2 linked regions of the Rattus norvegicus genome follow. The protein of the gene in region 1 purifies or fractionates together with the protein of each later gene. This does not show direct contact. Links are inferred from orthologs where the notes say so. Each region holds a gene or a part of one and is shown in the gene's direction. Other genes may lie near its edges.

The links. Proteins that work in one complex are often made in the same cells at the same time.
Region 2: the proteins of Tnks2 (region 1) and Rnf146 purify together in Homo sapiens (co-immunoprecipitation; 3 studies listed by BioGRID and IntAct, with this or other methods). This does not show direct contact. The link is inferred for Rattus norvegicus from reciprocal best matches to the Homo sapiens genes TNKS2 and RNF146.

The regions. Positions count from the first base shown.
Region 1 is NC_086019.1:244,025,746-244,029,245, forward strand, and holds part of Tnks2 (poly [ADP-ribose] polymerase tankyrase-2), read left to right. Parts: intron 1-458; coding exon 459-533; intron 534-2,174; coding exon 2,175-2,280; intron 2,281-3,089; coding exon 3,090-3,276; intron 3,277-3,500. UniProt on the Homo sapiens protein: Poly-ADP-ribosyltransferase involved in various processes such as Wnt signaling pathway, telomere length and vesicle trafficking.
Region 2 is NC_086019.1:30,292,520-30,296,573, forward strand, and holds the start of Rnf146 (E3 ubiquitin-protein ligase RNF146), read left to right. Parts: upstream 1-1,254; 5' UTR 1,255-1,297; intron 1,298-4,054. UniProt on the Homo sapiens protein: E3 ubiquitin-protein ligase that specifically binds poly-ADP-ribosylated (PARsylated) proteins and mediates their ubiquitination and subsequent degradation. May regulate many important biological processes, such as cell survival and DNA damage response.

The DNA.
Region 1 (3,500 bases):
TAACTTTTCAGCTGTAAACATGTTTTCAACTATATAACTATAAATATCTTTAGATATACTCATGGTAATCCCAATATTCAAGAGGAAGAGGCAAGTTTATGGATCTATGACTTCAGGGTCAGCCTGGTCTACAGAGCAAGTTTCAGGACAGCCAGGGCTACACAGAAGAATCCTGTCTCAAAAGAAGAAAAAAGAGCACATAAATTTATAGAATTATGTTCTTTCAAGAAAAATATTAAAACTTATCTTGAATTCTCAGAAATAGTATCAAATGAATTTAAAACAAAACATGAGTCAGAAAAGACAAAACTAGGGGTTGGGGATTTAGCTCAGTGGTAGAGCGCTTGCCTAGGAAGCGCAAGGCCCTGGGTTCGGTCCCCAGCTCCGAAAAAAAAGAACCAAAAAAAAAAAAAGAAAAGACAAAACTAATGTGTATGTTTTAAATGGCTTTCCATCAGATGCAAAGTACTGTTCGAGAGCACAGGGATGGAGGTCACGCAGGCGGCATCTTCAACAGATACAGTATTCTCAAGGTAACATGACCAGAAGGAGGTTTCCAAACCAAGACTGATTTCCACAGCCTGGAGTCTTAAGAAAGGTTGAGGAGAACATAGTGATGTCTAATACAATAGCTTTCTAACATGGCTTCATGGACTATAGAGGGGGAGACTGTCCTCCAAATTTTAACTTCTCAAAAACTCTGTTCATTTTTGGGGCAGAATATCACTGTCTACCTAGGCTAGTCTGGAATTTGAGTCTCTTGCCTCAGGCATTCTCGTCCTGGGGCTCAGACTGTGGGCCACCATGCCCGACATCTGTAAAGATTCTTCTATTTTAGGTCAGACATGGTAGCTCACAGCAGTGGGGGACATCCTGGCAGATCTCGGGTTTGGAGACGGCCTTGTCTACAGAGCAAGTTCCAGGACATCCAGGGCTACACAGAGAGCTATCTCAAAAAAAAAAAAAAAAAAAAAGAAGAAGAAATAAAAATGATTGAACAGGGGGCTGGAGAGATGGCTCAGCGGTTAAGAGCACTGACTGCTCTTCCAGAGGTCCTGAGTTCAAATCCCAGCAACCACATGGTGGCTCACAACCATCTGCAACACAGATTCCCTCTTCTGGTGTGTCTGAAGAGAGTGACAGGGTACTCACTTATATAAAATAAATAAAATCTTAAAAAAAAAAAGATTGAACAGTATCAGTATTCCATGAATGAAGTAGATGTGGTTAATGAACTAAAGCTTACTTAGTGTGCTGTGGTTCTGTTACTACCATGAGGTTCTTTAGGCAAGGAGGAGTCACTTAAGCGTGAAATGGAGAGGCTGATTTCTAAATGTCCTCATTCAATATGAAAGGAATCCATTTCAGTACAGTATTTAATGATTCTCTGTGTGTGCTAGAATAGCTTTACTTTTGTTATATTTTATACATAAATAAGGCTGGTTTATACCAGCTATGGTTCTTGATTACATCTGTTATCCATATTTTGAGTCATTTTGTGGGGTTTTTATGTTTGTTTGAGCTAATACTAAAACTGAAATTCTCATGCTTCCTTTAGGGACCACCAGGGGGCTGTAGCACTTAGTGCTAGAAATGTCCATTTTTACCATAGTGATTCTCCAAATGAGACCAGCTTTCATCTTTAAATCTTCTCCAGATGAAAGTGGGGACTGGCAGGGAAACAGAGTAATAGGAAAAAAGCAGGGTGATGTGTGGTGGGTGGTCATTTCAAATCATGTTCACGGTGTTCTGAGTTGGATAGTCAGGAGAACAGGATGCTGGGCCTGGTCTCATGCTTCTACAAAACTTAGTATGGCTCAAGTATTTTAGTAACAACTTAGTGGTGATTTTTATTTAGCTTCCTATTGTAAGTAATTTAAAGTTGAAGTATTTCACGCAACTTTCAAATATTCGTGACCCCTTCTTGGCCACATGTAGTCTTTCTTTCTCTTTGAAAAACAGTGTTGCATGTATATGAACTCCTACACACACACAATTGCATGTACACAACCACATATATGTGGAGGTCGAAGGACAACTTATGGGAGATGATTCTTCTTTTAGTCTGTGGTTTTTTGGGTTTTTGTTTTGGTTTTGGTTTTGGGTTTTGGGGTTTTTTTTGTTTTGTTTTTTTGTAAGATAAAAGGTAGTGTTAACTTTTCTGGTTTTTATAGATTCAGAAGGTTTGTAACAAGAAATTGTGGGAAAGATATACACACCGGAGAAAAGAAGTTTCTGAAGAAAACCACAACCATGCAAATGAAAGAATGTTATTTCATGGTAAGTTTTTACACTGCTCTAAGAGTGTAGCTTGTGTCCTCTTAATAAAGCTAACATTTCTGTAACTTACATTCGTGTTCATATCCTCAGTTACTTTTGTGTTAATATTCCTTAAAACGAACATTTTTATAAATTAAGATTACCCTGTTGGTGGCCAGTAAAATGGCTCATTATAAAGCCTTGCCACATGAACCTAATGACCTGAGTTCTGTCCCCAAAATCTATGCTGGGAAGAGAGAAGTAAGTTCTGAAACAGTGGCACACTTATGCAAAACCCCACACACACCCAACACTGGGTCTCATATGCTTATGCTCAGTGCAGTTTTGGCTAAGCCTCTGAGCAAGGAGAGGAGGGGGCAGCATGTGCCTGTGGAATGTTCCGTAGCAGATGATGGAGGAGAAGTGGCCCAGGAAAAGAAGAGAGCATGGCAGGCTGCTCAGGCCCTTCTGGTTATCTAGAGAAAGCACAGAGGTCAAGCATGCTTGCAAGACCTGACTGATGTCTTAGCCTTACTGTATGCCATGAGCTGGGAGCCCTTGGTCCAGAGTTTGTATGTTACTGGAAAGCAGTAACTTTTGCATTAGAATTTCAAAAAATGTGTTGTTATTCTAATTGAGTCTATCTGTTGGCATATGAACCACTACCCTATTGGAATCATTAATCCCAACCTAAGGAATTCTTAGCTCTAAAGATGCAAGCTAGCATCTACAGAGATGATTTGTCAATAAAGAGCAAATATTGCTGGAAACGTTAACTTGTCTGGGGCCTTGGTTCTGTTTTGTGGACTGTGTTGCCTGTCTGTCTTCAGGGTCTCCCTTTGTGAATGCGATAATCCATAAGGGCTTTGATGAGAGGCACGCCTACATAGGGGGCATGTTTGGAGCTGGGATCTATTTTGCTGAGAACTCTTCCAAAAGCAATCAGTATGTGTATGGGATTGGAGGTGGCACTGGATGTCCAGTTCACAAAGACAGATCGTGTTACATTTGTCACAGGTGAGAGATTATTACTTATTTCGATAGTAATTAGATCAGAACTAATTACATATTTGAGAAACATGGAGGGCAAGACAAACCTGATAACTTGAGGGATGCATTAAACTTTGAATACTTGGTTCTCCACACAGAATGCCAAGGGGAGCCAGGAAGATAGTGCACGACCACTGCCTGGCTCTGTTGACAGAGATGGAAGTGTGGGAGTTGAAGGGGGCCTAAGCCCT
Region 2 (4,054 bases), about 210 Mb from region 1:
TTTGCTTCTGTTTACTTTGTTTGTTTGTTTGTTTGTTTGTTAAGTAAAATCAGTTGTAGAGAGAAAATTTTTATGGACAAGATGGTTAAGTGGATAGGCGGGAACAGTTGGTATTTGTTTTTCTCTGTATTTCAATGGGAGGAAAAGGGCACCTTTCCTACTTCTAAGCAATGATTTGCTAAAGTTTTTTATAAGAAATACGTGACCAAATTTTACAGGCAAGAATCTTACCATCTAGTTATCTATTCTTGGAATTGTATCTGCATTCTGGACACTCCTTAAGTAGTCATTAGCCAGGTGAATTTTGTGCTTGCTAAAAGATAGATGACAGATTCTATAACTGAGGCTGGAATGCTTAGTTATATCATAGGTTCTTTAAAGAATTCTCTAACTTTATGTATTTGGCAATTTCCAGAAAAGTACCTTCTTCTTGAGGAAACTCAGGTATTTTATGTGACTTAAGTATTGTAATATTTAAACAAATCAGTTGAAATCAACACAAATTAATTGGCAGTTTACTAACCATTTGAAGATATAACATCTGTCGTGTTCTCATGGTTCTGTGAAAAAAGTCAGGGCATAAATTAATGCCAATATTCATGTTAAGTTCTATAATAGAAAAATACATAAAATACAAGAGAAGTAGTTTGGGTGACTATTTCTGTGTAGTGCAGTAAACATCATCGGGCATTTTATAAGCTGTGAAAGAGGAAGACTTTTAAAGGTAGGAGGATACACAGACTTATCAGGAGCTCTTTGGAGCATTGAGTACTTTGGTGTAACTTTGGTATTAATGTGGAAGGCTGGTTGCCAAGGATAAATAAGAGGGACTTCTTTATTTAGAGTTCAGAGACCTAAAGCCTTTGTTTTCCTAAGGAGTTTGCCTTTATTGAATAGACTGGAAAACTAAAATTTGGCTTCGAGTTTAGGAGGACCATGATCCATTTCTTTCAGTGTATTTAAGGCTGGTTACATAATAGTACATAGGAAATTCCCAGACTGTTCAGTATACAAAATGACAGGATTTAGTGTGACAATATGGAGGGCTAGAGAAGGTAGTAATAGTATCTCTATGTCTCTGACCAGTAAGTGGCTAAGGCATGGAAACTGAAGTGGCACATTGCAAAATTCAGCAGAGGTAGGGGTTCATATAACCACACAGAGATGAAAACAGGGGTTTTGTTAGGGAAGAACTTTCAGATGATTCTAGATTGGTCAGGAAAGGAAATGACATCAGGAACTGTATAAAGGAAAGAAGATGAGGAAGTGGCCAGAGGTCTCCATAACTAAAGAACAGGTGTGGGAATGCGAACTGATGAGAAGGGCCAGCGCTTGTGGTCTGAGAATGCGATTGTGACTTGTTTTAGATGACAGTGCCAAGTGGCACTTTATTGCTGAGAGGAAGTAAAGTGATTTGAATTTGGGAGTTCAGAAGTTGAAAATAAAGGGCAGTTTTATGTTTTTTAGACTCATTTCAGCCTAGAATCTGCAGTGGGAGGGCCCCAAAATGCATACTTTTAAGAAGCTATGTACTTGTTTCTAATAAATGGATATTGGAGCATGATTTAAGGACATCTGAGAAGCTGGGCTGTTCGTTCTCAAGGACAGTTAAGTTGGTTTGTGGGGCTGTCAGCAGATAGCATGAAGAGGATGATATGTAGTGAAATGGTGAAGTTAAGCACAGCCAGTGGTAGAGTCTCAAAGAAAGCCAAATTGGTACGATAGAATGGCTCTCTCTGATCTGCAGATGGCATTGTGAGAAAATGAGCAGTGTCTGTTTTGAGTAGGCTGTGGGAGGGATATGCATTGATATTCCTGTGTGGTATCACTAAACTTTTACACACCACAAAGGCAGAGTATAAAAGCTGGTAGGAAGAATAGAATAGTGGCAGCCATGTTATCTAAAGCCAGAATAAACTGAAACACATTTAGTAGAAATGCTGTTTAGCCAGTTACATAGAAAATTCTTTGGCCTTGAAACAGATTCATTGTTCTCTTACACATTGGTGGGGAAAGCAGGCTTCTATTCAGAGGTCATAAGTGCTACATTTACTTTTAACTATCAGAATCTTAGGTTAAAAAGATAATTGCCAGCCCTGAGAGACTTAAGGAACTGAATGAAACAGGATCCATGTCTCTCCTCTCTTAGATTTACTTACTATGTGGTTGGCCAATTCTTTAGTGATCATGTGCAGGATGTTACGCAGGTTCTACGTGGAATGATGTGCCTCTTGAAGTAGGCAACCCACAGGAAGGAATACTATATGACAACAGCTAAAGGGCGGGTGGTGTTTTTGATTTTCTGGACAGGAGGTAGCTTGAGTAAAAGTTGCCATAAAGGTAGTAAAATAAATAACAGCACCCATGAGTTAATGTGCTAATGGCACCTGTGTAGGAAGGCAGTGATGCTGACTCAGTATTAAGAATGGGCTACTGACATTTTGTTGCTGCTTTGACTGGGTTCATACAGAACTTGATTATTTTACTCAAAACATGTTTTGTAGTAAAATTGTAAGAAACAAGAGATACTCTTTAATTATTTTTAAGTGTACACTCAGTAGAGCTAATTTTATTGACAGTGTTGGAAGCCATCCTTACTATGTATTTCTGGAAATATTTCATATTCCGGACAGAAACTATGTACTTTTGAGGCAGGAGCTCCCTGTTCGCTCTTCATTTTGGTCTCTGATGACCCTTAAGTTGATCTCTGAAGTTCTCCATTCATTCAGGACTAAATACAGTATTTTTCCCTTTATGTCTGGTTCATTTGACTTTAGCAACATGTTTCCGTGTTACATTTATAGTGGACAAACTTCATTCTTTTGTTCTGAATACTGCAATACTGTGTTTTCTCTATCCATTCATCTGCAAAGAGACATGCGTGTTCATCTTTTGACTGTAATTCTGTTATTGACTTTGGCGTATGAAAGTCTGAGTCCTAGTATTCTTTTGTTTTATATAGATCTAGCAGTAGAATTGCTGGGGTGTATAGTAATTATAGATCCACATGAGTGACATCATATTACACTTATACTAGCACTCACTAAAGGTCTAACTTTACTGCATCCTTAGCCACATGTATTTTTACTTTGCTGTAGGTCTGAGTTACATTTTCCTAATGACTAAGACTGAATACCTTTTCATGTGTTCATTGATCATTTTCTTATAAAGAATGAGTTATCAAGCCTGTTTCTTATTTATTTTTGTTTTTTCCATTGAGGTGTAGGAATTAAGTAGTCTGAAAATTAAGTCTTTATTTTCAAAAATCTCCATTTCTATAAGTTGTCAATTTTTTCTTTACATTTTGATAAGGTCAAATTTATATATTCCTTTGTTCTCTATACTATTGGTGTTATGTGTCCCAATGGTGTTACGTGTTCCAATGCTTAAAGAATTTGCGTTCTATTGGCTTCTAACATTTTAAGGATTGGATTATGATAATTAGGTCATTGATCTGCTTTGATTAATTTTTATATATTGTGTGAAGTGTGGCTTGACTTGGTTGCATGTCTAAATCGGGTTGTCTCAGTGTTGAGACATACTCTTTTTCTATTGAATGGGCTTGATACACTTTCCCAAAGATCATTTGGCTATGTAATATGTTTATGCATTTGTTGAAAAGATTTATTTACGTATTTTATGTGAATGTGCTTATATAAGTTTATGTATATCACATACATATAACAGCCTATGGAGGCCAAAAGAGGGCATTAGATTTCATATAACTGACAGTATAGGTTGATGTGAGCTGTTGTGTGGGTGCTGAGACTGCTCCCCGCCCCCAAACCAGGGACCGCTGCAAGAAACAGTAAGTGCTCTTAACTGCTGAGCCATCTGTTTTCGTGATTCATAATTGTATTTTATTGATGTATTTATCTTATAATTCCATACCACAGTATCTTAGTATTGTTCTGTAGTGTTGGGATGTGGCAACGTTGAACTTTGCTCTTATTTTTAAAGATTCTTTGAGCTAATTTGATGTGAATTTAAGGACTAGCTTTTCTTTTTATGCAAAAAGACTGGTAAGATTTTAGTAGGAATTTATTCAGTCTGT